Callithrix jacchus: one gene and its partners. The protein of the gene in region 1 binds, or shares a complex with, the protein of each later gene. Links are inferred from orthologs where the notes say so. Each region holds a gene or a part of one and is shown in the gene's direction. Other genes may lie near its edges.

Region 1 (5,341 bases):
ATCTGTATTAACATGTATCCTGTTTTGCTCTAAATAATAGTTTATATTCATCTTCTAGTTTGAACTCTTATATTCTCAGCCAGATGGTTCAGGAAAACAGAAGTTAGGGTGGAAGGAGTGGCAAATAAGGTAATAAACCAGCTTTAGATTTTAGACAAATTCAGCTGGGCACAGTGTCTCACGACTGTAATCCCAGCATTTTGGGAGGCTGAGGCAGGCAGATAACTTGAGGTTGGGAGTTTGAGACCAGCCTGACCAACATGGAGAAACCCTGTCTCTACTAAAAATACAAAATTAGCTGGGATCACAGGCGTGGTGGCACATCACACTATTGCACTCCACCCCTGGCAACAAAGCGAAACTCCGTCTCAAAAAATACATATATATTTTGTCTAAAATATACATTTATATATATTTTTAGACAAAAAATATATATTTATATATATTTTAGACAAATTGTCAATTCTCACAAATGAGACACTAACCACTTTCCTCCTTTACTCCCATACCCCTAAAGGGCTGGGAGATAAAGAACCTGGAGCCAATAAAACAAAAAAGGTAGGAGAAATCTACCTCTGTCAACCTAGGTGTCTGTGGGCAGAGGCCATTTGGGAAAAATGGTGCTAAGTGCTGGTTCTGGATGGTGCTAAGTGCTAAGAAAGCTGCACTAGGGAAAAAGGGAAGCACAGTGACTCCAAATGAACAGTCACAAGCTTGCAGAAAAGCACGTCATTCCCATTTACTGTGGTTGTCTGGAGGGTGCAGGGGGTGTGGTGGTAACTTCTTGCACATGCGCCTGTCTACGACATGTAATAAGTAATATAACATACATACATATATATATACCTAGAAGTATATATATACACACATATATCTTAATCTCACATAATCATAGAATCTTCCTACTGAAAAAACAAAAACAAAAAACATAAAGGTCAAGTATTCCTGTCTCCTGCTCATCAATAACTTCTCTGCCAGATGGCCTCAAGTCTTTGCATTAACACTTCCAGGAAGGTTTGGAAGTTGGGAACTAGAGGGCATTACTTTGCCACTGTTCCTGTTGTCTTACTGTATTAATCTGCCTTCTGTCCATCCCCTAATTGAAGTTTTGCCCTCCAGTGGGCATTGTCTACTACCTATTTTATAAGACCCCATTGTTGGCTACATCTTTATAGATAGTCGTACCACTACTTTAAAGAGCCAGTGACAGACACCAAAAACAAAACAAAATAAAAACCCACATACACACTGGCAACAAGCACTCAGTACAATTTTGTAGAATGAATGAGTGAAACAATGGCACAAATGAGAGTATGTTTTCTCACGGTGAAGCAAAAAGGTGATAGTACCACCTCTGGTCCCCCAACTCCCACCCTCTCCCCAATGTAGTCAGGCTGAAAGACCAGTGAAACAATCTTTCAGCCCGGAGTTGGGCTCTGGGTGGCCTGGGTTGCCATGGCACCGCCTTGGGCTCCACCCTCTCTTGCCCCCTACCGCGCCCCCCCACCCGCAGCGGGGTTGTGGCAGCTAGTCACGTGCCCTTCGCGTAACCACACCTCTGCTCCTCCGAGCAATGTCAAGCGGTCACGTGTGATAGCAACAGATCACATGGCTGTATCTCCCCTCCGCCCCTCTTACGCTCTTAGCTCTCCTCCCCGTCAAAGCGGCTCCTGGCCGCCCCCACAGCGCTTGGCTGGCGGTCACGTGCCCAGAACGTCCGGCGTTCGCCCCGCCCTCCCAGTTTCCGCGCGCCTCTTTGGCATCTGGTCACATGGTGAGGGTGGGGGTGAGGGGGCCTCTCTAGCCTGCGGCCTGTGTCTATGGTCGGGCCCTCTGCGTCCAGCTGCCCGGGACAGAGCCCGGGTGTATGGGGCCGCAGGAACCGGCTCCGGGGCCCCGATAACGGGCCGCCCCCGCAGCACCCCGGCCTGGCGTGAGGTAAGTGCAGCCCCATCCCAGCTTTCCACGCGTGCGTTTCGAGAGCTGGTTATGAAAGGGTCGTTCAAGGGCGGGAAATGGGGCCTTTGTGGTCGTGGGAAGGTATAATTTTAGGGACTGAGGTGTAAGATCTTCGATGCAAGGCGTGTGTCATGTGTGATCTTTGTACGGGGCGCGATTGTCCCAAAAGAAAAGGCATTTTTTATTGTAGGGCCTCACGTGGCTGCAGGGGTTGGTATTGAGTCATTGTGTTATCTCCGGGGCCGGCCCAAGGAAGATTGGGAGCGGGGGATGGGATGCTGGTGTTGTTCTTTGTGCTTTTTCTTGGGAGTCCCTTTGTTGCTGCAGGCTCATACCATCCTAACTCTGTAAGGGACTTTTAGTGATAGGAGTCTTTGTGATTGTAGGGTCTCCCTTGATCTGAGAATGGCTACCTCTCGATATGAGCCAGTGGCTGAAATTGGTGTCGGTGCCTATGGGACAGTGTACAAGGCCCGTGATCCCCACAGTGGCCACTTTGTGGCCCTCAAGAGTGTGAGAGTCCCCAATGGAGGAGCTGGAGGAGGCCTTCCCGTCAGCACAGTTCGTGAAGTGGCCTTACTGAGGCGACTGGAGGCTTTTGAGCATCCCAACGTTGTCCGGTGAGAAGGCGGTGGAGGGTTGGGAGTGGGCAGTAAAGGGAAAAGACAGTCTATAGGTGGGGTGTGGTGATCTGGTGAGAAGTGGGGACCCAGAGGAAATAATGAGAGGTCATGTGGGTTAAAGGGGATTGACAAGTGAGCATTTACTCTGGCCAGGCTGATGGATGTCTGTGCCACATCGCGAACTGACCGAGAGATCAAGGTAACCCTGGTGTTTGAGCATGTAGACCAAGATCTAAGGACATATCTGGACAAGGCACCCCCACCAGGCTTGCCTGCAGAGACCATCAAGGTGAGTGGGGTTGGTAGGCATTGAGAGGTGAATTGGGACCTTTGTAGTAGAACCTCCTGGGATTTCAGGGATGGTGCCTAGTTTCCAGTGCATCTGTTCCTCCCCCTTCTGAACTAGGATCTGATGCGCCAGTTTCTAAGAGGCCTAGATTTTCTTCATGCCAATTGCATCGTTCACCGAGATCTGAAGCCAGAGAACATTCTGGTGACAAGTGGTGGAACAGTCAAGCTGGCTGACTTTGGCCTGGCCAGAATCTACAGCTACCAGATGGCACTTACACCTGTGGTCAGTAGAAAGATGGTACCAATATGGGTTCTGGTTGGGAGTAGGAGAGTGGTGGCCCATAACAATTGAGAAGTCATGTGCTTCATGTGTTCAGTTAAGTCAGTTGTATTTCATGGTAACGCATGGGATCCCCATCCATTTTTCCTATCCCCTTTAGGTGGTTACACTCTGGTACCGAGCTCCCGAAGTTCTTCTGCAGTCCACATATGCAACACCTGTGGACATGTGGAGTGTTGGCTGTATCTTTGCTGAGATGTTTCGTCGAAAGTATGGGACCCACATACCCTGGACCACCTTGAATTCCCCAAATCTCTTGTTCATAAACCACATCCAAACCTCCCTTCCATTCTTCTTCTTTTTTTTTTTTTTTTTTGTTGGAGACAGGGTCTTCTCTGTTGTCCAGGCTAGATTGCAATGACATGATCACAGTTCACTGAAGCTTCAACCTCCTGGGCTCAAGTGATCCTCCCATCTCAGCCTCCCGAGTAGCTCACACTATAGGCGCACACCTCCATGCCTGGCTATTTTTTAATATTTTTGTAGAGATGGGGTCTCAGTATATTGCCCAGGCTGGTCTTGAACTCTTACACTCAAGCAGTCCTCCCAACTCTACCTCTCAAAGTGCTGGAATTACAAGCATGACCTACTGCACCTGGCCCCATTCGTTTACTTGAGTTCTACTGACTACCTTGGCCATAACGGGAAGCACTAAAATGTTCTGGAATTGGGAACTTCATATCCCTTTATTCTCCTTTATTTATTTATTTATTTGAGACAAGGTCTCACTCTATCACCCAGGCTGGAGTGCAGTGGCACAATTACAGCTCACTGTACCCTCTACCTCTTGGGCTCAAGCAGTCCTCCTGTCTCAGCCTCCTGAGTAGCTGGGACTACTACAGGCGCACGCCACCATGAATGGCTTTTTTTTTTTTTTTTCAAGACAGAGTGTGGCTCTGTTGCTAGGCTGGAGTGCAGTGGTGCGATCTTGGCTCACGGCAACCTCTACCTCCCGGGTTCAAGCAATTCTTCTGCCTCAGCCTCCCGAGGAGCTGGGACTACAGGTGTACACCACCGTGCCAAGCTAATTTTTATATTTTTAGTAGAGACGGGGTTTCACCATGTAGGCCAGGATGGTCTCCATCTCTTGGCCTCATGATCTGCCCACCTCTGCCTCCCAAAGTGCTGGGATTACAGGCGTGAGCCACCGCACCTGACATTTTTTTTTTTTTTTTTTTTTAAGAGACAAGGTCTTGCTTGTCCAGGCTTATCTAGAACTCCTGGGCTCAAAGAGTTGTCTCACCTTAGCATCCCAAAGTGCTGGAATTACTGGTCTTTATTTGCTATACTTTTTATTTTGGGCTACTAAGTAGTAACAGCCATTCGACTATGATACTTTAAAAATGACAGCTACCTTATGTCTCTTCTTACCTTAGGCCTCTCTTCTGTGGAAACTCTGAAGCTGACCAGTTGGGCAAAATCTTTGAGTAAGTGACCAATATGGGAGAAAAATATTTTACATTCTGAGTCCTCTTTCTGCTGAGCCCAGGATGGCAACTGGCTCTCTCCATGGGGATGGGAACTGGAGGACCCTCCTGACCACAGCTCTCCTGTCCCCCACAGCCTGATTGGGCTGCCTCCAGAGGATGACTGGCCTCGAGATGTATCTCTGCCCCGTGGAGCCTTTCACCCCAGAGGGCCCCGCCCAGTGCAGTCGGTGGTACCTGAGATGGAGGAGTTGGGAGCACATCTGCTGTTGGTATTGGAGATGGCTGTGGGCACAGGGAGGGACTGGGGGAAGAAGCAGAGCAGTACACAGGGCCCTGGCCACTGTGGTTAATGAAACTTGGTTGGTAGATGGGCTGTAGTTTTTATTGCAGCTGCAAATAGCCACCCACAGAGAGGGATCTAAAAGAGAGCCCATCCTGGCCAGGCGTAGTGGCTCACACCTGTAATACCAGCACTTGGGAGGCTAAGGCGGGTGGATCACCTGAGGTCAGGAGTTTGAGACCAGCCTGGCTAAAATGGTGAAACCTCATCTCTACTAAAAATACAAAAAGTAAGGCAGGCATGGTGGCACATGCCTGTCATCCCAGCTACTCGGGAAGCTGAGGCAGGAGAATCGCTTGAACTCAGGAGGCGGAGGTTGTAGTAAGCCGAGATCACACCACTGCACTCTAGCCTGGGC
Region 2 (5,314 bases), on another chromosome or scaffold:
GAGGCCATGCTGTGGACTTTCTGGGGTTTAACCACAATTCTGGCCTGACTCCAGGGCCAGGCAGGCCCAGGGGATCTGCTCCTGTGTCCTCCCACCCCTACCTGGGCTCCCACCTTCACAGTGGAGGAGACAGAAGCCTCTCCTTCCTGAGGTCAGCTATGTTAGAAGAAGAGAATGTGCACTGGACACATTTTTCCCACAAAGTGGGCCTCAAGTTTTCCCCTCAAAGTGGGCCTCACATTTTTCCCTCAAAGTGAGCCTCTTTTAGTTGGAGAATGACTTGGCACTCCCCAGGAGGGCACGGCATTGTTAGAATGAACCCTCTTTCTGGCCCACCACCACCACTGACTCACTATGGCAGGCAAGCATTTACTCAATGTAGCTGAAAAGATCAGGAGGATGACATTAATAAATAAAAATCCATATATAATAAAAAATGATGTGCAAAGAATTATTTCATTGTGAAGCCCAATACTACAAAACTTTATAATTCATTACAAACCTTTATTAAAAAAAAAAAAAAAAAAAAGGCTTGGGGCATGCCTGGGCAGAGATTTCCAGACTGAGCAGCCTGAGATGTCAGTAATTGCAGCTGCTCCAAGCCTGGCTCCTATTTTTTAGTGGGATTTATTTTCAGATTAACAATCCATCCTCTGCAATTTTTCAAAGCAAAACTGCACATGTTTCAGGCACATAAAGGAGGCAAAGATGAAGTCCAAGGGAGGTCAGAGGTATGGGGTAGACGGGAGCAGATAGACACGTTACTCATTTCTGTGTCTGGCAGAAGCACCAGTAGACACTTCCAGAATTATCCTTTATTTATGTCATTTCCATAAACTGTCTGCAAATGAGGGTTATTGGGTATTTTTGTCATTCTGGAGCCACAGAAATAAAGGGTGACAAGCACAGAGCCTTGGGCAGGAGGCAAAAGTCCTGTGTTCCCACCATAGTCATTTCTTTGCTGCATAATCTGAGTCAGGTCACTAAACTCTTCTGAGCCTCAGTTTCCCCAGCAGTGTATATGGGCCCTGTGGGGAGTATTTAGGAGACAGACAACTCACTCATCAAATCCTCTGCTTCCTAGCCAACAAAGCTGCAATCACAGAGTTCTTCTGTTGAGGTGAGTGTACGGTGTACGGAGATTGGTTCAATGTCCAATTCCTCCTCGGTTTTCTGATAGTGTCTCCAATTCCCTCCTTCCCGGAAGCATGTGACAATCAACATCTTTGTATACTTAAGTTCAGTGGACCTTCAGTTGCCTCATCTGTGAAATAAAGGGGACTGAAAAATCATTCTGGCCTCAAGATGTTTTGTTGGGGTGTCTAGGTGCCTCAGGTGTGTCTGGGAGAGGTGACCTAATGAGGGATCAATGGGAATAGAGGTGGTATCGTGGGGCTTTTCTGGAAATTGCAGAGAGGCGCATCGTTTTTATTATTTATGGATTTTTATTTACGACTGTCATCCTCCTGATCTTTTCAGCTGCATTGGGTAAATCCTTGCCTGCCATAGTGGGTCAGCGGTGGGCCAGAAAGGGGGCTCATTCGAACAGCGCCCTCCTGGGGAGTGCCAAGTCATTCTCCAACTAAAAAAGGCCAAATTTGAGGCTCACTTTGTGGGAAAAATGTGTCCAGTGTACCGACGCACGTTAGAGACAACGGGAGGAGGGAAGCGCCCTCCTGCAGCACGCGAGGTTCCGGGACCGTCTGGGGCTGCTGGAACTCTGCCAGGCTCAGCTGGCTCGGCGCTGGGCAGCCAGGGCCCCGGGCCTGGGGGAGGGCCGTCCAGGGGCGGCGCGGTAGGACGAGCGCGGGTCCCGCCCCTCCTGGGGGTAGGTTATATTTGCGCCCGCAGAGCGGCACCAGTTGAGGTGTGAGCAGCTGCGGGAGTCAGTTCCTTGTGGGGTCAGAGCTGAGCGCGGATTCGCCGAGGCACCGAGGCACTCAGAGGAGGTGAGGGAGCGGCGGCAGCCAACAGGGGACCCCAGGCCGCCGGCCCAGAGCCGAGCCGAGCGAGCCTGCCTGTGTCCGTGGGTGTCGCGGGGATGCGTGTCCGCGGGTGTGCGCTGCGTTCACAGGTGTTTCTGAGGCAGGTGAATGACGGGCGTGGGTCTGTGCCTGCTCGGCTTCCGCATACGGTGTCTGTAAAGTGCTCGGGTGACGGGGATCGGGATGTGCCGGAGACTCCGGGCGGAGAGCGGGATTACAAGTACAGGGATCCCGGGCCACGCTCCCCGCCCCTAGAAACCCAGCTGGGGCGAGGGAGGGCGTAGACGGGGCCGCTCTGGGAGCTCGCCTTCCGCAGCGGTGGGCTCCAAGCCCCAGGTGCAGTTTGCTCCTGGCGTGGGAATGAAGTCCGTGTCCCTGGAGGGGTCCAGGAGGGGCGAGGAAAGCGGAGTGGAGTAAGTTCGTCTGGGATCGGTCCCGGGCGGTTTTCGGAACCAAGCGGCGCCGCCCTGGCTCACGTCCCGGGGTTCAGGTCCTCTACGCCACTGTGTCCACCACCTGGCTGGGCGCTGAGGTAAGTGCGAGCAGTTTCCTGGCCCTTGGGAATGTGCCAGGACACGTCCCCTAAGGACAAGCGAGGAGCTGACTCATTGTGACAAGGAGACCCCAGGGAACGGACTGTATAAGGTCAGAACTTCGCCCGGGCTGGGGTACAGTGGGAACCCAGAAGCCCCCTCCCTGTCCCTTCAGGTCTCGCCCTCCCATCAGCACAGTGACCAATTTGGCTGGCACAGCGTGTTCCCAGGGAAGCCGGGCACTGGAGGTCCAGGTCGCCGCGTCTGATCCCCGCTCCGCGGCGCGCCCTAGGGGCCGGGGAGTCAACGCCCTGCGCTGGGCGGGCTCTAACCAGCCTGTCAGTCGAGGAAGGGCAGGGGTCTTCTCTACCTCTTTACCACCGCGGCCGGGAGAACCACGGCCCAGCTTGTCCTCGAGTCGGGGCGCTGGACTCCCGGGCAAGAGCGGAGCCTACGCCTGAGTGGGAGGTGGGGAGAGATCCTGTCTTTGCGGCGTTGGTGGCGTTTCTGGGGGGCACGACACTGCTCAGGGCCTCCATCAGCTGCCGCGGGGGCTCGGGGTGCCCCGACCTAGCCCAGATTCCCTCTCCGAAAGCGACAAGACTGAGCGGAGCAGCGGGGTGAGCGCCGCCGCCGGGCGCGGACCACGGCACGTCCTCTCAGTCCGGAATCCCCGGGGGACACTTGCGCCCTCTTAGTGCAGAAAAACATCTAGGGGATGGGTTTGGAACTTGGGGCGCCTAGACAGCTTCCCGTCTCCTTCCCTCGCTCCACGTCGTGTTTTTGGGAGAACTTCCGAGAGATTTTGTTTTCGTTGCTCCCGTCTATTTTTATTTTCCAGGGATCTGACTCATCCCGTGCTTTGGGCGTGGAGATAAGGTGGAGGGGCCAGCTCTCGGCGCGCGCGCGCGTGTGTGTGTGTGTGTGTGCGCGCCCGCGCGCCCGTGTGTCTGTGTCAGAGACGGCGCAGGAGCGCGCGGTTTCGCAACAGCGGCGGGAGTTTTGGAAGCCTGGCCTGCCCAGCGTGACGTGTTCGCGGCCCTCCGGTCCCCTCCCATTCTCCCTCTCCCCACCCCAGTGTGACGCGCAGCCGGAGTGGAAGCGGAGTTTTGGCGGGGGCGGGCAGCGCCTTGCGGGAAACTGACTCATCGCTACTCCCCCGCTGTCCAATGCTCTGCCCACGTACCTCCCACCCCGCGCGTGATTTCCTGGAGGCCGGCGCCCCCTCCCGGCCCTGGTGAGAATGGCACACCCGCTTTCCCGCGGAGTGGGGCTGGCAGGCGGGAACCACCGCGGGTACTCCGGGCTCATCTGAGATCAACCCCTATGCCATTCACCGCTCCTTCAAAGGAACACTCCTTAGGTTCAACAGTATTTATTGAGCTCTTACTGGAAATTAAAGTATGACTGAAGTCTAAGGCAGGAAGGCCAACAAAGGAGGCTATTCTCAGTTATTTGTAGAACAAGGGTTTGCGTTTCTGAGTTTTCTTTGGGCTGAAAGTTATGACAATGCGCCTGAGAGCAGATTTAGATGGGGGAGGAGAGGCCTATGAGAGCCCTAAGGGAAGGGGTGGTAGAAGAGGAAAGGGTGCCTGCCTAGATCCTAGTCTTATCCTGAGCTCCTGAGAGCCAGGGAATATCCTTGATGGAGCCCTTCCTTGTGCCTCTGATGTATTGAGACCCAGAATGTCCATTTCAAACACACCAGTGTCCCCCTTGTCTGATACCCCAAGAGTGCCCATCTGAGGAACTGTGCTGAACACTTGCTTAAATCTTCAAACACCTACTTAAATCTTCAATCTGGATTAAGTTGGTCTCAAGAGGCAGGGCCTTGAAAAAGCTCCCTAAGTGATTTTTTTTTTTTTTTGAGACAGGGTCTCACTCTGTTACCCAGGCTGGAGTGCAATGGCACCATCCTAGACTCAAGCAATCTTCCTGTTTCAGCCTTTCAAGAAGCTGGGACCATAGTCGTGAGCCCCCATGCCCAGCTAATTTTTTTTTTTTTTTTTTGAGACAGAATCTCACTCTGTCACCCAGGCTGGAGTGCAGTGGCGTGATCTCAGCTCATTGCAACCTCCACCTCTTGGGTTCAAGCAATTCTCCTGCCTCAGCCTCCTGAGTAGCTGGAACTACAGGTGTGCACCACCACGCCCAGCTAGTTTTTATAATTTTAGGAGAGATAGGGTTTTTGCCGTGTTGGCCAGGCTGGTCTTGAACTCCTGACTTCAAGTGATCTGCCTGCCGCAGCGTCCCAAAGTTCTGCGATTGTAGACGTGAGCCACTGCGCCCAGCCCACCAGCTAATTTTTATTTTTAGTAGAGATAGGGTCTCTCTGTGTTGCTCAGGCTGGTCTTGAACCCCTGGGCTCAAATGATTCCCCCACCTTAGCCTCCCAGAGTATTAGATTACAGGTGTGAGCCACTGCCCCTGGCCTCCCCAACTGATTCTGATGGGACTCTCTGGTTAAGAAACCTCAAAATTAGAGAGGGAGTAGGTTCAATACTAGAGCACAGGACTCAGGGCAAACAGGCCTGTGTTCAGATCCTGACTCTGCCATTTATGAACTGTGTGACACTGGACAAGTTGCTTAACTTCTCTGAGCCTTTGTTACCTCTGCTGTAAAAAGGGAGCAAATAGCTATTCACTTTTTAGAGGATTGACATTTTTAAACTGCTTAGAACAGCCCCCATACATGAAAATATACAAATGAATCCCAACTCATGCCTAGGAGAGGGTAGACAGAGGTTCCTTGAGGGCTCTGTCCACTGTACTGTGTGACTCCTTTATGGGGCAGTG
Region 3 (5,370 bases), about 51 Mb from region 1:
TAAAATTAGGATAGCTATCTAATTTGGGGAGTAAGGTATAAATTACGGCAGTGAGGCCTACCCTAATCTTCCTGTCCCTTCTCTCCCAGTCTTCAATAAATTGAGAGCATTGAAAGTGGAAAAAATAAAGAGGATGAAACCTCCTGCTTGATCCTAGGTGAATTCTTTTCTGTCACTTAGGTAGAAGTCCTGACTTTAAAACTAAGTTTAGGCACGCCTCCTTTACTGCTCTCTGGGTATCACCCCTGTTTTTCTAGAGTCTGTATTTTAGTTGAATTAGTGGATGGTGATACCAAAGGACTGTGACAGCTGCATTTAAATATCAGCGACCACAGGTCGCATCAAGGAAACATCTGCAGGCAACCCAGGGCCTGGGAAGGAGCCATTTTGAGTCACTTGTAAGACAGCAGGACCTGCAGACTACAGCACAATCAAACCCAGACGAAACCCTGAACCAGTGAGGACCATCAGGAAGGAAAGGCACAGAAAATGAACCAACCCGAGTGGTAGGAGACCTGCAGCTAGTCCTGTATCCGTTACCAACCGAATGCATGTCCCTGGACAGGAAACCTCTCTGAGTCTCAGTTTCCTCCGTGGTAAAAACGAGAGGGTTAAACCACAGGGTCCCGAAGGTCCCTTCCAGCTGTCACATTCTGGAGTGTATGAGATGAGGTAGGCACACAAAGTGGACAAACAAGATGTGGCTAAGAAAACGAGCCACACATGAAGTTCATCTGTAGCATAGGTGCATAAGAAAATTAGGCTGCCGTGTGATACTAGAACGGAAGGTTGGTTTCCAGCAAAATGTATTAACTTTGGCCCAAACCGAGATGATGGGTACGGGGCATGGGGGTGGGGAGAGCAGCTGAAGATCCACTGAGCTTTGTCTCAGGGCAGCCCTGCTCGTCGTCCTACTTTACCTTCCACCACGGTGCTCAAGCCCACAATGAGAGAAATTTCCAGCTGCAAAAGGGAGCAGAGAAACGCTGGAATATCGGACATTAGGACATGGTTTGGTGGCTTTAAGAATCATTTCATCATCTGGAGTTTGGCCCCGAGGGGAGTATTTTCACCCTTCAGCCCTCTGAAAGCATTCACTAGCATCTGAATATTGTTCTGAGTTTGTTGGAGCAGTGAAATCTGGTGAGAGAGAAGGGTGGAGGAAGGAAGGAGCTGTTGTATTTGGCGGCTGGACCCAGGTAGAGGAAACTGCTACAATCCCGGGAAAGAACTGAAAAGTAGAGAGAGACAGTTCCCACACGCAGCCGACGTCCATGGCCTTAACTCTGCTTGGGAAGCAAGAGCCTGGGCCAGGGGTGTAACCTCGGTTTTCAAAACTGAATGTGTCTGGGACAGCTACAGCGTTTATTAATGGACTTGAGAGACTACTCGAGTTTTTTTTTTTTTTAAATCTTGAGTTCCTTTCTTAATTTTCATGGAGAGAGAGCTTGAGTTTATGGTAAGTGCCGCGTCTACTCCTGGCTAATTTCTAAAAGAAAGACCTTCGCCTTGGCTTCTTCCCTAGGCCTGCTACCTCCCCAGGGATGGCAGAAACTTCTGGATTAAGGCTGAGCGAACTACCACCCACCCCCAGCTAAGGCAAACCGGCCGGGGCGGTGCCCAGCCCCTCCAGCAAACGCTCCACGGCCTCCCCCACAGGCCGCGAGGTGGGGGCCACTGGGGAAGGTTGAGCTGGGGGCAGCTCGCCACTTCGGCTCTAAGCGAGCTGCTGGTGACCTTCGAGGTCCTCTGGTCTAGGCCCCCGGCTTCCCGGGCAAGGAGCGGGAGGTCGGGACTTAGGCGCCGCGCCGGGCCCCGAACCCCAGGCCCCGCCCCAGCTTCCCGGCCGTTTGGCTAGTTTGTTTGTCTTAATTTTAATTTCTCCGAGGCCAGCCAGAGCAGGTTTGTTGGCAGCAGTACACCTCCAGCAGTCACGCGACCAGCCAATGTCCCGGCGGCGCTCGGGGAGGCGGCGCGCTCGGGAACGCGGGGAGGAGGCGGAACGGCGCCGGGGCCACCTTAAGCCTGCGCTAGCCAGCCTCGGCGGGGCGGCTCCCGGCGCCGCAACCAATGGATCTCCTCCTCTGTTTAAATAGACTAGCCGTGTCAATCATTTTCTTCTTCGTCAGCCTCCCTTCCACCGCCATATTGGGCCACTAAAAAAGGGGGCTCGTCTTTTCGGGGTGTTTTTCGCCCCCTCCCCTGTCCCCGCTTGCTCACGGCTCCGCGACTCCGACGCCGGCAAGGTTTGGAGAGCGGCTGGGTTCGCGGGACCCGCGGGCTTGCACCGCCCGGACTCGGACGGGCTTTGCCACCCCCTCCGCTTGCCTGGTCCCCTCCCCGCCCCTCCCCGCCCTCCCACTCGCCAGTCCACTTGATCAGCGGAGACTCGGCGGCTGGGCAGGGGCTTCTCCGCAGCCCCATCCCGCAGACCCTGCGCGCTCCTGTAGCTCGGGCCGTGGCTCGTCCGGGTCCGTGTCTTTTGGCTCCGAGGGCAGTCGCTGGGCTCCCGAGTGTGGTTCGGGCTGCGTAGGGGCGTTTTGTTTTGTTTCGTGTTTTTGAGAGTGCGAGAGAGGCGGCCGTACAGACCCGGGGGGAAGATGTCAAACGTGCGAATGTCTAACGGGAGCCCCAGCCTGGAGCGGATGGACGCCAGGCAGGCGGAGCACCCCAAGCCCTCGGCCTGCAGGAACCTCTTCGGCCCGGTGGACCACGAAGAGTTAACCCGGGACTTGGAGAAGCACTGCAGAGACATGGAAGAGGCGAGCCAGCTCAAGTGGAATTTCGATTTTCAGAATCACAAGCCCCTGGAGGGCAAGTACGAGTGGCAAGAGGTGGAGAAGGGCAGCTTGCCCGAGTTCTACTACAGACCCCCGCGCCCCCCCAAAGGCGCCTGCAAGGTGCCGGCTCAGGAGAGCCAGGATGTCAGCGGGAGCCGCCCGGCGGCGCCTTTAATTGGGGCTCCGGCTAACTCTGAGGACACGCACTTGGTAGACCCAAAGACTGATCCGTCCGACAGCCAGACGGGGTTAGCGGAGCAGTGCGCAGGAATAAGGAAGCGACCTGCAGCTGACGGTAATGGCCCCTTCCCAACCGTAGATTGTTTGTGTCTGGGGGCCCGCTTTGCCTGCTGGAGGGTGTTAATCTCAGCTTGTTTTCCGGCGTATTCTGATTTAATTTTGGAAGGGCTAACTTTTTTGGTCTTAGGTTTCCAGTGCTACCTGACCCACTGCTTGTCTGTTTGTAACTTTTAAGTCAGAAACTGGAGATGGTAAGATCCGATAATTTCCCTAATTTAGGACGTCGCAGTCCCTCCCACTAGCCAGCCTTAGGTATGTGACAAAGTTGGGATGTTTATCAATGGTCCGCCTCCTGGCTAGCGAGAGCGCTCTGGGGCGGAGAATGCACTTTCTGTTTTTTGAAAACAACCTCATTTTGTGCCCTTAAAGGCCATTTGGGATGACGGATACAGGATTGTGGGTGGAGGTGGTGGGTTTTTCATCCCCTAAATATCGGGCCAACTTCTGCATCCATTGTTTTTTCTAACAAAGATTGTGTGTTCTTTTTAAAAATTTCCCCCACTCTTAGATTCTTCTACTCAAAACAAAAGAGCCAACAGAACAGAAGAAAATGTTTCAGACGGTTCCCCGAATGCCGGTTCTGTGGAGCAGACGCCCAAGAAGCCTGGCCTCAGAAGACGTCAGACGTAAACAGTTCGGTGGGTTTGATCAGCAAAGGAGCACGCACTGAAACCCAGGGCCTTCAGAACCCACGACACCTGATCTTACTGTTTGCTGGCAGATTAAAAGCCTGTGGGGTTTTGTTTTGTTTATACTTCGTGAGGTCAAAAAAGTAGCGATTGGGAAGGCTGGGAATCACTGTGGGGATACTGTAATTCTTCAAAGTTTCTTTGCCCGAAGATACTTTCTCTTGAAATAGTAGACCAGAGCAGCTACTGTAACCAAGGCCCCGTCGGGTAGGAAGGGCATTTTTCTGTGAGTCCTACTGAGACATATAACAATAAGTTCTTTCCCCATCTGAACAAGAATTGGGGTACTCCCTCAGTCCCACTTCATGAGAGTTAATTTCCCAGAGGTTCAGTTTGAGTCTGTAACATTTTTGAGCCATACATGGAAAAATGGCAAATACATAATTAAGTTTAAATTTTGAGGGGAATATGTGGTAGAAATTGCTCACCTTTGGTGATGCAAGGGATTGGAGATGTGAATAGGGTGTTGTTATGTTGTGTTCTGTCTTTGACATTTTCATAAACGGTCACTTTCCCTGTTCTAGAGAGTTTGTAGAGAGAAGGAATCAGTATTTACAAAAAGCAAAATGGAAAGATAAAAAAATTACTAAAGTTTCTCAATTTCTGGGAACACTCAAGTTGCAAAGCAGAAGTTAGATTAACTCTGTCAGTAAGCAATCCGTGAACAGGTCAGCCAGTGTATGCTAATTGTGCTGTAATAGGGTGATTTGATATTTGTAGGGGAAATGGGTAGTAAATATCAAGACTGGTGACCGTGGGTCAACCCAGCACAAAGGAAGTGGAGATTTTTCCGTACTCAATCTGATCACCGTTAATAGCTAATTTGAATAATTCAGCCCCCAAATGTACATGGATTAGCTAGTCATAATTATCGAATTAACATACATATTAAGTTTTTTAGTGTCTTATAGACCAAGATTGTGACCTCTTTCTTTTTTAAAGCACATACATAGCTTAGCATATGAGGCGATCTTGATAAATATTGTTAACTTATTAAATCCTCATTTATAAAAATTTTAACAGGGATTAAGGTGGGATTCAGGTTTGTTGTGTCTTTAAATTGTGTATTCGACTTCACTATACCTTGTATTTTTCAGAGCTTATACAGAACGGTACTATAGAGCCTGTTTCATAGTACCATATGAAGTGAGAAAATTAGGTGAAAATTTTCCCGAAGCAGCCTTGACACTCGCAACTCCTGTTGGTTTGTGACTTGTAACCTAGCTCATCAGATGAGCCATGAGAATCAAACCTGGATTTTGATCTGGCCCCATTCTGACACGCAGAGAGGCATTTGTTAGTAATATTGCCAGTTCAAAGAATACTAGAAATATTAGTAAGAACTTACTCAGAAGGATTCATGAATAAATTCTGTGTATGAATAAAAAAATATTTTGAAAATGATGTTAATAAAATTTTCTTCTGGAAGACCTTTGTAATTTTTATTCCTAATCATTTTTCAAATTTAGAAAATTTAATATGTCACAGTAGAGAAAAAAATTTTTTTAATTTAAAGAAAATTTAATTTTTTAAATAAATTTATGAATAAAAAATTTGTAAATTTTTACCCTTAATTATTACAGTTTCCTAATTTTCCTGTT
Region 4 (5,370 bases), on another chromosome or scaffold:
ACGCCTATCGATTTTGTTAAAAATCAGATCAGTACACTCATTTGTTTAATTGATAAGTGTCCTTTATTTTGCCCGCCCTTGCCAGCCCCCTCACGCTCGCCAGTGCAGACCCGGGGCAAATTATAAAGGTGAAAGGACGTCTACACCCCCAACAAAACCAATTAGGAACCTTCCGGCGGTCTTGTCCCAGGCAGAGGCGACTAATATTTCCAGCAATTTAATTCCTTTTTTAATTAAAAAACGAGTCAGGACGGAGATCACTGTTCCTCGGCTGTCCTTTCAGAGATGTGTTTGGCCCGGTTAAATTGCCGGCACCGGAAGGGAGGGGGTGCATCTGGGGACCCCCGCGAGGATGGACTGGTCAAGGTAGGAAGACAGCCCGAAGAGTCTCCAGGCTAGAAGGACAAGATGAAGGAAATGCTGGCCACCATCTTGGGCTGCGGCTGGAATTTTCGGGCATTTATTTTATTTTATTTTTTGAGCGAACGCGTGCTAAGCTGAAATCCCTTAAATGTTTAGGGTTACCCCCTTGGGCATTTACAACAACCCCCATGTGAGCCGAAATGAAAAGTGCACTGGGTGGTGTGCCCTGTCCTCCGTCCCTGCATGCTAAATAGTTCTTGAAATTTACACGTGTTAATGAAAATGAAAGGAGATGCAGAAACTGAGATTCTTTGGCCGTCTGTCCGCTCGTGGGTGCCCTCGTGGCGTTCTTGGAAATGCGCCGATTCTGCCGGCTTGGATATGGGGTGTCGCCGCGCCCCGGAGTCCCCCCTCCTCGTGGTCTCCCTAGGCTGCGTGTGGCCTGTGGGGCTTCCCAGTTGTCCCCTACTGCAGAGCCACCTCCACCCCACCCCCAAATCCCGGGGGACCCGTTCGAGTCGGACCGGGCCCCCTGTACCCCTCTTTTCTGGCGGGGAGAAAGGCTGCAGCGGGGCGATTTGCATTTCTATGAAAACCGGACTACGGGGGCAACTCCGCCGCAGGGCAGGCGCGGCGCCTCGGGGATGGCTTTTGGGCTCTGCCCCTCGCTGCTCCCGGCGTTTGGCGCCCGCGCCCCCTCCCCCTGCGCCCGCCCCCGCCCCCTCCCGCTCCCATTCTCTGCCCGGCTTTGATCTCTGCTTAACAACAGTAACGTCACACGGACTACAGGGGAGTTTTGTTGAAGTTGCAAAGTCCTGGAGCCTCCAGAGGGCTGTCGGCGCAGTAGCCGCGAGCAGCAGAGTCCGCGCGCTCCGGCGAGGGGCAGAAGAGCGCGAGGGAGCGCGGGGCAGCAGGAGCGAGAGCCGAGCGCGGACGCAGCCGGAACCCACAGCCCTCCCCAGCTGCCCAGGCAGAGCCCCAGCCATGGAACACCAGCTCCTGTGCTGCGAAGTGGAGGCCATCCGCCGCGCCTACCCCGATGCCAACCTCCTCAACGACCGGGTGCTGCGGGCCATGCTGAAGGCGGAGGAGACCTGCGCACCCTCCGTGTCCTACTTCAAATGTGTGCAGAAGGAGGTCCTGCCGTCCATGCGGAAGATCGTGGCCACCTGGATGCTGGAGGTGCGGGGCTTCGGGCGGCTCTCTTAAGACCTCCCTGCAACTTGTTGCCCATACCCACGTTTCTTTGCTTCTCACTCCCCTCTCTTCTCTCCCGCTAGACCTTTGAAGTTTGCCGGGGTGTTGCTAGGTATTTTCAAAATAAAAATTGTGGGTATTTTCTGAAGAAGGAAGGGGTGGGGGTGGGGGTGCTAGGAGTTGCGTTTCCTGGGACGGGAGGAGGGGGTCGGGGAGGGGTGCCTCCAGGAGAAGCCAGTGCCAGGAGCACCCCAATGGGCCCGAGGGTGCGGGCTGGCAGGTTAGGTGCGCTTTGTGCCCCCCGCCTGCGCCCCAGCCATGCTGCGGCTCCTCTCCCGGCCGCCGCGGCCGAGAGCCTCCAACTCCGGGGGGAGGGGGCATAGATTTGATTTTTAAATTACTATCCATGGACACGTATGCAAGGGCTTCTCGTGCCAGTATTATGCGCCATCTTTGCTCTTTTATTGCACAGCAAAAGTGTTTATTAATAATTGGGGGCAGGGTGGGGGCGGGGAGCGGCCGCCGGGCGCTGGGGCCGCAACTAGGGGCCCGGCGGCTGCCCGGAGCCCGCGGGAGGGGCGCGGGGACGCAGCATGGGTAGTTTTGGGGGGACCCCGCTGGGGAAAGGGGGGCCTTTGTTCAAGCAGCGAGTCCCAAAGCGCCCCGCACGGGCAGCCTGGGCCGGAGAGCACGCCGAGCTGCAAGGTCGCGTGGCCCCCAAGACGCCAGGGCTGGATCCCCGTCTGCAGGGATCTCGGCTTGGGGGACCTTCTCCGAGCGAGCCGGGGGCCTGGGAGAACATTTTCACACCTTCGGTAGGCGCCTGAGGGGCCCGCAAGTATTTTTAAATAATTTTTGAAAGTGCGGCGTGGTGCCCTTGCGAGAGGGAAACACCGCCCGCGCCCAGGGGGAAGGGGGTCCCCGGAGTTTGAATTCCTGGGGCTTCCCCCGGACCCTGTAACAAACTCCCGACCCCCGGCCTGGGTAAAGGGCCGTCCGAGGGTCATTTTCAGGGTATTTTTACGCACTTAGTTATTTTTTAAATATTTTTAAATATTTTTTGAAAAGATGACGTCTGGGGAAATGCGGCGCGGCGGCCTGGGACGCCACCTTTGTGTCTCGCAGGCGCGGCGCCCAACCCCGCGGCCTTTTGCGCGGCCCCGCACCCCAGTGGGTGTCGACCCACAGCCAGAGGGGCCACGGAGCTCCAGGGCGGGCTGGGGTCCCCGGGGCCTGCAGCCCGCGCCGCCGCCCAGCTGTGCCCGCTCCCGCCCCCACCATGCCAGCCTCGCGGGGACTTTCCCTTTCAGTTTCAGGGAGGGTGGATACTCGGGACGCGCGCGAGAGGGGGCGCATCACAGGAAGCTTCTGCCGCCCCCGGCCCCGACCCCTCGGCGCCCTCCAGAACTGGTGGTCCTGCCGAGCGCGATGGGCATGCGAGGGCGGGGGAGTGGGGTGGGGGTGGCGCGACCTGGCGGCGGCGGTCACGGGCCCCGTGCCCCCGCAGGTCTGCGAGGAGCAGAAGTGCGAGGAGGAGGTCTTCCCGCTGGCCATGAACTACCTGGACCGCTTCCTGTCGCTGGAGCCAGTGAAAAAGAGCCGCCTGCAGCTGCTGGGGGCCACCTGCATGTTCGTGGCCTCTAAGATGAAGGAGACCATCCCCCTGACGGCCGAGAAGCTGTGCATCTACACCGACAACTCCATCCAGCCCGAGGAGCTGCTGGTAACCGCGGGACCCCCGCCGCCCCCCGCGAGCCGCAGGACCACCGGGCCGGGGAAGGTGCAGGGGCGGCAGGCGGCCCCTTTGCCGGGTGTCCTCGTCCTGGGAGCGGGTGGGATCCTAGCCGCCCCGTGCGCGCTTGCCTGCGACTCCCACCTCGTTAGCGCTCTGCGGTGTGGCCGAAAAATGGGCGGCGCGCGCCCTCCAGCGGCTGCACCGGGAACGCCGCGCTCCACGCTGAGCCTTCCGTTCCAGGTGGTGGGAAGTCTTTTTGTTTCCACTTGCAGAATCTTTTCACGCGGCGGGCGCCTTTTCTGTTTTGATCTGGGATCGTGTGTTGCCCCAGCTTCCTGGACCCCCCAGCATTCGCCAGTCCTGCTCCCGCACCCCCAGGACCACACGAGACTCAGGGGCTAGGGCCATACTGCCGGCTTCCCCGCGTCCCCAGGCCGGCCCGCACCTCCCCTGATAGCCGCTCACCCTGTGTTCGCAGCAAATGGAGCTGCTCCTGGTGAACAAGCTCAAGTGGAACCTGGCCGCCATGACCCCGCACGATTTCATCGAACACTTCCTCTCCAAAATGCCAGAGGCGGAGGAGAACAAACAGATCATCCGCAAACACGCGCAGACCTTCGTTGCCCTCTGCGCTACAGGTAGGGCAGGCCCAGCCGCCCCCAGCCTCCCCTTGAAAGCCAGCACCTTAGGTGGCCTGGCCAGCTTCTTGCTCTGCACCTGGGTGCTGTCCCGGAGGACGTCCCTAGGCCCCCGCCTGCGCTGGGAAGAGTTCTTCCAGCTCTGGTGAGCAGAGGTGCTGGCTTGTTTGCGCTGGATGGAAGGGGATTTGCCCTTACGGCCGCGCCACCACGCAGCCAGCCTGCCTGTGTCTAGATGCTGTGGCCTCATCCTCCAGGCCGAAAGGGGTTTACCTTGGCCGCAGGGCCGCCTCCTTTCCCCACCGACCTCCAGCCCTTCTTGTGTCCTTAAGGAGCCTGAGCTGCGGGGGCCCCCTCCTGGCCTCTCCCAGGCTGGGCGACTTGCCAGAGGCGCCTCCGGGGGCGGGGAGAGCTGTCGGCCCGCCTGCACCACGTGTTCTGGGCAGCTGAGTGCAGGGGTGTCCAGCAGAGGAGCTCAGCTGCCTGAGGCCCTGCCAGGGGTGCCGCCAGTCTGCTGGGCTCAGCTGAGCCCTGGGGAGCACTTCAGAGCAGTCTCAGCTTAGGCCGCCACCGTGGGCAGCAGAAGTACCCAGTCCTCACCTCCGCTGGCATGGCCCTGGCCCCAGGACCCAACTGGGATAGACACATGCATACACAGGGTGCTGCCTCCTGCTGTCCCCAGCCCTGCCTCTGACCCCCCTGTGCGCCTCCTTCCCTGGTTACCCTGATGGGGGGGCCCTGCCCCCTTTTGGTCAAGCCTCAGTTGTCACATCTGTTTGTGGGCTCACTCTGGGTGACAGGCCACAAGGTCCGGGACATCAAAGACACAATAGCATCTTCTCCCCCAATCCCTTGAGGGCAGAGCCCCCCCAAACCTATTTCAGCGCACCCTCTGACACAGGTAGCCAGCAGTTAGTGTATTATTCCAGAATGGTTTCTGGTTTCGGCGTGAGAGCTCCCCCACCTCCTCCACCTGCTTGGGGCAGGAAACCCTCCCCCATGTTTCCAAGCAAGTCCCCAAAGTGGTCAGATGAAGATGCCAAGAATGCCGTCCAGCCTGGATGGGTCTGAGGGGTGGGGGTGGTCCTGAAGCAGACAGGGAGGCGTTCTCTGGCTGGGGCTCCTCAGAGGAGAGAGGCCTCCAGAGACTCCACGCAGCCTTTTATGGAGCTGTAAGTGGCTTCAGAGAAATGCACTTTTCTGGAGACGTGGTGGGTGCCGTCCTTGCACAGCTTCCCTGCAGGGTGGCTCCAGCGGCTGAGCTCCCCTCCCAGGATCCCTGGGTGTTGGCGGGAGGCAGGGGGCAGGTGCAGTCTCGCCCTCCCCGCTACTGCACACGCTTTGTCTGTGAAGGCGCCCCCGGCGGTGGGTAAAGGAAGAGGGACACTTGGGAACCCAGTTGCTCTCAGTCTGCTCCAGGGTGGGCCCCGAGTGAGG
Region 5 (5,389 bases), on another chromosome or scaffold:
AAAGACAAAAATTAGCCGGGTGTGGTGGCATGTGCCTGTAATCCCAGCTACTCAGGAGGCTAAGGCAGGAGAATTGCTTGAACTCAGGAGGCGGAGGTTGCAGTGGCCCGAGGTTGCGCCACTGCACTCCAGCCTGGGTGACAGAGCAAGACGCCCTCTCAAAAAAAAAAAAGAAGTATATCAAAAGCCTTAGAATGTTTCATAATCTTAAATTGGGAAATTCTACTTCTAGAAATTAATTCACTTCTAGAAATAATCATGAGTGTGCACAAAGTTATTACCACAAAAATATTTTACAGTATTTTTTCTAATGGGGAAGAACTAGAAATAATTTAAATTTCAATGTTTGCCAAAATACCTTTTGTATATTCACCTAATGGTATACTATGTACCCATTACAAATTATGTCCTAGAATATTTAATGGCTTGGAAAAGTGTTAATGGTATTTTTTTTAATGAAAAAAGCTTACAAAACAGTTTGTGATGATCCCATTTAAAATGTGTGTTTATTCGTAGAACAAATATTAGAAAAATAAAGATTGATATATTAAACGGTTATTTCTGGATGGCAAATTGCAAATGATTATTTTCTTTTTCTGTGGCTTATTTGTATTTTTGAAGTTTTCTAAAATGCAAAATAATATTTTATGATACGAAAAGTACAATACAATTTATTATAGAAGAAAGAATAATTCAGCTAGGCTCAGGGGCTCAAGCCTGTAATCTCAGTACTTTTGGAGGCAGGTGGTCACAAGGTCAGGAGTTTGAGACCAGCCTGGCCAACGTAGTGAAACCCGTCTCTACTAAAAATACAAAAATTAGTCGGGCATGGTGGCTTATGCCTGTAGTCCCAGCTACTTGGGAGGCTGCAGCAGGAGAATCGCTTGAACCTGGAAGGTGGAGGTTGCCGTGAGCTGAGGTCGCACCACTACAGTCCAGCTTGGGCAACAGAGTGAGACTTCGTCTTAAAAACAAGCAAAAAGAATAATTAACTGAGAAAATGGTTGGCATAGAACTTACATCTTCTACATAGTGTAATTTCTCTAGTTACTCACTTCCTTAGTAAGGCAGGAGACACTTCCTTAGTGTCTCCTAGGGTGGGAGGACCCCAGTAAGGGCAGGGATCCTCACGGCCTTCTCCCATTTGGAGCATTATTGGAGGTCTGTTATCTGCCTCTTGGTCAAATACAGCTTCTGGTAAAACTACAAAGTAACCAAAAGTTTGGGAGGTGGAAGCAATGTAACCTGTAGATCTCATAGAGTCTGTGTAAGAAACTGATTCAGTGAGAATCGAGTTTCTCCATCCAGTTTCCCCAAACAGATACTAAGGCCAACTTAGGGGGCTTGTCCAAAGCCAGGCAACCAACTTAACAAGGTGAGGCCACGACTCAATCGCCTTTCCATTCTGTGATATGCTGATTTAGACTAAAGCACTCATACTTTAAAGTGCACAGACATCTAGTTAAAATGCAGATTCTGATTCAGGTTAGCTGTGGGCCTGAGAATCTGCATTTCTAACCAGCTCCCAGGCGATGCCCACACACGGGACAAGTGTGGTATCACAGTTTAACAATGGTGTAGAGTACAGAATCTGGAGAAAGAAGGCCAGCTTCCCAATCCCAACTCTGCCATGGACCAACTGAATGATCGCGACAGTTGCCTCAGTTTCGGAGTTTTCGTGAAGACGTAGTGAGTCATTACATCGTGAAGCTTTGGAGCAGCGTTCACTAACTAGGTCTGACATTATTTATCGCATTCCTTAGAGCAAGCAGCTGGTGAAGTAGGGTTTGACCAATGAATAAGTGAATGAATGACCTTTGGAGAAAAATTCTTTCCTGGGTGACTAGAGTCCGAGAAGCAAAATGGGAGGGTCCGTGGGTGGGAGGAGGCCCACCTCCTAGAAAGTTCTCTGCACCCGGTGGTCCAGGGCCTGGAGTGCCCGGAAGCTGGCCGGCTTGCGCCCCGCGGGCCAATGGGGCCGCAAGAGGGAGGGGAGAGCGCCCAGCCAGCCCTTTCCGTCCGGGGCGTCGCAGCCCCGCCCCTCAGAGCGTTGCGACGTCCAAGCATTCCAAGGTTGCTATATCGTTGCGAGGGGCGGGGCGCCTGTCAGGGAAGCGGCGCGCGCGCGGGCGGCGGGCGGGTTGGGGATCCGCCACATAGTGCCAGCGCCAGCGCCAGCGCCAGACGTGCACCCCGCGCTCTCTGGACGGCCGCCTGCCTTGGGAATCGCGAGCCCGCACTTCTGCCCTGCCTGTGCGCTGCCCGAGTATGGAGCTGCTGTGTTGCGAAGGCACCCGGCAGGCGCCCCGGGCCGGGCCGGACCCGCAGCTGCTGGGGGACCAGCGTGTCCTGCAAAGCCTGCTCCGCCTGGAGGAGCGCTACGTGCCCCGCACCTCCTACTTCCAGTGCGTGCAGCGGGAGATCAAGCCGCACATGCGGAAGATGCTGGCTTACTGGATGCTGGAGGTACCGCCCGGACGCCCCTCACCCCACTGCTCCCGGCTCTGGACACACCGGGGCCGCCCTGCCGGGACATCCCGGTCACCACAGCAATCTGCAGGATGCTCCGGGGCTAAGACTCCCGGGGCCTGGCCTTTCACTAAGGCACCCTCTCCGGCTGCCTCCCTTGCCTTCCCGAGCCCTAATCGGCTTCTCCCGACTGTGACTGCCAGTCACTTGGCACCCTAACTGAGCCTCTCTTCGGACCGGGAAAACGGGACAAGGGATACCCTCTCCCCTTCGGCTTCTCCCTTTTCCCTCCCCCTCCTGGCCTTCTCCGGAGAGCGCGCCTGGAAAACCCTGGGCTCGGCCGCCCCCGCCCGGGAGCCGGTTCCTGTGTCTGTCGCGGGGTTCTGGCGGGGAAGGCGGTGGGGGTGGCGCGCGCCCTGTTCCGGCCGACAGGGAAATGAAAAGTGCGGGAGGCAGCGGCAGGAGCCTCCTCCCTTCCCCTCGGGTGTGTGCAGTGGTGGCGGTGATGGGGGTGAGGGCCCAGCTCTCTGGCTACCATGGGTGACCCTTGCGTCCCACTTCCCCTCACTGTGGGGGAGGGGAGTCTCCGTTTGGAATCCTCCATGAGGAAGGGCTCCTCGGCTTTACCACCTCCACCCCACCAAGGGAAGAGGGGAGGAGGCCGCTCAGAGGAAGTGGGGCGGCGTCACCTCGGGGAGGGCGCATCCTCCTCCGTTATTGGTCCTTGTCTCTGTAAGTAGCTTACCCTCTCTCCCGTTTTTGCTCCCTATCCCGCTTCACTTCACCGACCGCCCCCACCCTCCGCTGCCCCGCCGCGGTGTTCCCCACGCTCTGGCCCCAGCAGTGACTGTGCGCCCTCTCTCAGGTGTGTGAGGAGCAGCGCTGTGAGGAGGAAGTCTTTCCCCTGGCCATGAACTACCTGGATCGTTACCTGTCCTGCGTCCCCACCCGAAAGGCTCAGTTGCAGCTCCTGGGTGCGGTCTGCATGCTGCTGGCCTCCAAGCTGCGCGAGACCACGCCCCTGACCATCGAAAAACTGTGCATCTACAGCGACCACGCTCTCTCTCCCCGCCAGATGCGGGTGCGTGTGTAATCCCCCCCACCCCTGACACGTACTGTCTCCCTACTTTCTAGGAAAAGGAAAGCTTAAGACCTCAGAGGCTTTCTGTCCCCTGGAGAGGGAGCAAGGTGATCAGAGACCTTTGGGAAAGGAATTAGGGTGGAAGAAACGATGGGGCAGTGTGGTGTGATGGTTAGTATCACTCCTGCCCAGGTTTGAGCTGCAGGCAGGTATTAAACCCCCTCCTCCTGACCTCCAGGGGATGCCACTCCTTCCTGGTCTTTCCCCCAGATAGCAACAAGTCAGACTGCATGTCTACACTCACTAGTACTTTGCCTCTGGGTTTACAGAGCCACCATGAGTTATTTATTGGCAGCAGAAGGGCATGTCTGCACACCCCCACTGGAGTAGGGGAGTGGAATGTGCTTCATGTGGGGGAGGGGGTTTGCTTTGGTTGAGTCTTTATCCTCATGTGGACTTTGTGATAGAAAAGCCTCCCAGAGCAGATTAAAGCCAGGCCCTGATTGCTTTAAGGAAGGGCTGATGTATTTCATCCCACCTTCTTTGCTTCCCCTTATATCCCGATATCCCGGAAGAGGCAGCTTCTCCCTAATCCTTCCCTGTCTTCATTCTGAGGAACTGGAGCAGCTGCTTTGGGCCTGGTGGAAACAGCTCTCTCTTTCCCCCTTAGCCAAAGGCTCAAGCTGAGGGACAGACCGGGAGGTGGGCTGCAGCTGCTTCCGATGTGATAATGGTGCCCCCTCCCCCGGCCCGCCCTCTCTGACCAAGGTCTTTCATAACACTGTGGGGAGCTGCTGTCACTCCTGTGGTTTGGGAAGTGGCTCCCTGGGCCTCTTGCTGGAAACTTGGGCTGGGCTCAGGCAGGGCCAGAAAGTCACCGGTTCTATCCCGCCTCAGAAGGAGCCTGGGGAGGAGGCGAGGGAGCTGCTGGATCTGGAAGAGGTTATTTAGGACATGCAGATTGTCTCCTGGGGGGCGCTAGGGGAGAGGGTGGGTGAGCTGGCACCTTCCTCCACCTTGCTCTGTGGCCGGCCAAGTCTTCTGCTGACCCTGAGAGGAGTCTCTGGGCCCCATCTCCCAGGGAGGAGGGCAGCAAGCAGGCTGCTGTGATTGGCTGGCAGGGAAGCCAGGGTACTGGGGCCCCTGACTGCTGTGAGTTGAGGAACAGGATTCCTCTTCCTGCCAAGTAGCTCAGAGATGGGAGTAGGAGGCCAGCGTTGGGAATCCAGGAGGCTCCACAGCTCTTTGTGATGAATCTGGTAAATTTTGGCAAGTCTGAAGTAGAGTTAGTTTCCAGGACCAAAGAGCAAGATGTTTTTGGAGGGGTTGGGGCCGGAAGGTAGAAGGGGGACTTCCTCTTTGTGAAAAGATGGAGGTGGTGTGTGTGCCCATGTATGAGGGTTTTTCAGTACAGGCAAAAAGTACTCTTCCCTCTGCCTGAGCTGGGGGTAGAATGTCCAGAAGACTTCCTAGAAGGTCAGGGTTGGAAGAGGCCTCTGAGAACTCCAGTTGGTCTGAATCCCTGTGCAGCAGAGAAGGCCGAGGCCCAAGGAAGGAGGGAAGAGTCCTGCCTTAGCATCACTCTGAGAAGATGAGTGTAGAATCTGGGTCTTCTAGCTAGACGAGGTTACCTTAAAAGTCAGGGATGTCACAAACTGAAGATAAGCACTCCCAGGGGTGTGTTCTTTACCAGTTAACACTGGGATTCTCTAGTTGCCTGAATATGGGGAAGGGTAGACACCTTCCCTCACAGAGGACCCCTTGCTTCCCCATAGGGAGGATCCCACCCCCAGTTGCCTCCCAGATGCTTCCTTAGAATCTAGGTCCCTCTGTTTACTG

The links.
Region 2: the proteins of CDK4 (region 1) and CDKN1A are in contact, whole or in part, in a crystal structure (PDB 6P8H), measured with the Homo sapiens proteins. The link is inferred for Callithrix jacchus from reciprocal best matches to the Homo sapiens genes CDK4 and CDKN1A. Residues at the interface, in NP_000066.1 of Homo sapiens: Gly18, Thr19, Val20, Tyr21, Lys22, Ala23, Asp25, Val32, Leu34, Ser36, Met75, Asp76, Cys78, Ala79, Thr80, Lys88, Thr90, Val92; in NP_000380.1 of Homo sapiens: Met38, Cys41, Ile42, Ala45, Arg48, Trp49, Phe51, Phe53, Val54, Glu56, Asp62, Phe63, Ala64, Trp65, Glu66, Arg67.
Region 3: the proteins of CDK4 (region 1) and CDKN1B are in contact, whole or in part, in a crystal structure (PDB 6P8F), measured with the Homo sapiens proteins. The link is inferred for Callithrix jacchus from reciprocal best matches to the Homo sapiens genes CDK4 and CDKN1B. Residues at the interface, in NP_000066.1 of Homo sapiens: Gly18, Thr19, Val20, Tyr21, Lys22, Ala23, Arg24, Asp25, Pro26, His27, Ser28, His30, Val32, Leu34, Ser36, Met75, Asp76, Cys78, Ala79, Thr80, Ser81, Lys88, Thr90, Val92; in NP_004055.1 of Homo sapiens: Glu53, Ser56, Lys59, Trp60, Phe62, Phe64, Gln65, His67, Lys68, Pro69, Lys73, Tyr74, Glu75, Trp76, Gln77, Glu78, Val79.
Region 4: the proteins of CDK4 (region 1) and CCND1 are in contact, whole or in part, in a crystal structure (PDB 2W96), measured with the Homo sapiens proteins. The link is inferred for Callithrix jacchus from reciprocal best matches to the Homo sapiens genes CDK4 and CCND1. Residues at the interface, in NP_000066.1 of Homo sapiens: Gly45, Gly48, Leu49, Ile51, Thr53, Val54, Arg55, Val57, Ala58, Leu59, Arg61, Arg62, Ala65, Phe66, Asp76, Val77, Cys78, Ala79, Arg82, Ile87, Val89, Asp129, His132, Ala133, Asn134, Cys135, Ser285, Phe287, Arg288; in NP_444284.1 of Homo sapiens: Leu6, Cys7, Cys8, Glu9, Val10, Thr12, Ile13, Ala30, Lys33, Ala34, Thr37, Phe108, Lys112, Met113, Glu115, Pro118, Leu119, Thr120, Ala121, Leu138, Gln139, Glu141, Leu142, Val145, Asn146, Lys149, Trp150, Asn151, Leu152, Ala153.
Region 5: the proteins of CDK4 (region 1) and CCND3 are in contact, whole or in part, in a crystal structure (PDB 7SJ3), measured with the Homo sapiens proteins. The link is inferred for Callithrix jacchus from reciprocal best matches to the Homo sapiens genes CDK4 and CCND3. Residues at the interface, in NP_000066.1 of Homo sapiens: Gly46, Gly47, Gly48, Leu49, Ile51, Thr53, Val54, Arg55, Val57, Ala58, Leu59, Arg61, Arg62, Glu64, Ala65, Phe66, Val77, Ala79, Val89, Asp129, His132, Ala133, Asn134, Cys135, Arg163, Ile164, Tyr165, Ser166, Tyr167, Gln168; in NP_001751.1 of Homo sapiens: His11, Pro13, Arg14, Ala15, Gly16, Pro17, Asp18, Arg20, Leu21, Arg26, Val27, Ser30, Leu31, Arg33, Leu34, Arg37, Tyr38, Glu74, Lys112, Leu113, Arg114, Glu115, Thr116, Pro118, Ile121, Glu122, Pro134, Arg138, Glu141, Val142.

What each region holds. Positions count from the first base shown.
Region 1 is NC_133510.1:61,952,910-61,958,250, forward strand, and holds the start of CDK4 (cyclin-dependent kinase 4), read left to right. Parts: upstream 1-1,814; 5' UTR 1,815-1,938; intron 1,939-2,345; 5' UTR 2,346-2,364; coding exon 2,365-2,579; intron 2,580-2,735; coding exon 2,736-2,871; intron 2,872-2,988; coding exon 2,989-3,156; intron 3,157-3,313; coding exon 3,314-3,423; intron 3,424-4,589; coding exon 4,590-4,640; intron 4,641-4,776; coding exon 4,777-4,912; intron 4,913-5,341.
Region 2 is NC_133505.1:44,980,342-44,985,655, forward strand, and holds the start of CDKN1A (cyclin-dependent kinase inhibitor 1), read left to right. Parts: upstream 1-1,834; 5' UTR 1,835-1,949; intron 1,950-2,089; exon of another isoform or gene 2,090-3,755; intron 3,756-5,314. UniProt on the Homo sapiens protein: Plays an important role in controlling cell cycle progression and DNA damage-induced G2 arrest. Involved in p53/TP53 mediated inhibition of cellular proliferation in response to DNA damage.
Region 3 is NC_133510.1:10,588,817-10,594,186, reverse strand, and holds the start of CDKN1B (cyclin-dependent kinase inhibitor 1B), read left to right. Parts: upstream 1-2,124; 5' UTR 2,125-2,600; coding exon 2,601-3,075; intron 3,076-3,588; coding exon 3,589-3,710; 3' UTR 3,711-3,718; intron 3,719-5,370. UniProt on the Homo sapiens protein: Important regulator of cell cycle progression. Inhibits the kinase activity of CDK2 bound to cyclin A, but has little inhibitory activity on CDK2 bound to SPDYA. Involved in G1 arrest. Potent inhibitor of cyclin E- and cyclin A-CDK2 complexes.
Region 4 is NC_133511.1:126,558,275-126,563,644, forward strand, and holds the start of CCND1 (G1/S-specific cyclin-D1), read left to right. Parts: upstream 1-2,070; 5' UTR 2,071-2,153; coding exon 2,154-2,375; intron 2,376-3,067; coding exon 3,068-3,283; intron 3,284-3,773; coding exon 3,774-3,933; intron 3,934-5,370. UniProt on the Homo sapiens protein: Regulatory component of the cyclin D1-CDK4 (DC) complex that phosphorylates and inhibits members of the retinoblastoma (RB) protein family including RB1 and regulates the cell-cycle during G(1)/S transition.
Region 5 is NC_133505.1:50,441,955-50,447,343, reverse strand, and holds the start of CCND3 (G1/S-specific cyclin-D3), read left to right. Parts: upstream 1-2,108; 5' UTR 2,109-2,268; coding exon 2,269-2,465; coding exon of another isoform or gene 2,466-2,466; exon of another isoform or gene 2,467-2,742; coding exon 2,743-2,953; exon of another isoform or gene 2,954-3,201; intron 3,202-3,334; coding exon 3,335-3,550; intron 3,551-5,389. UniProt on the Homo sapiens protein: Regulatory component of the cyclin D3-CDK4 (DC) complex that phosphorylates and inhibits members of the retinoblastoma (RB) protein family including RB1 and regulates the cell-cycle during G(1)/S transition.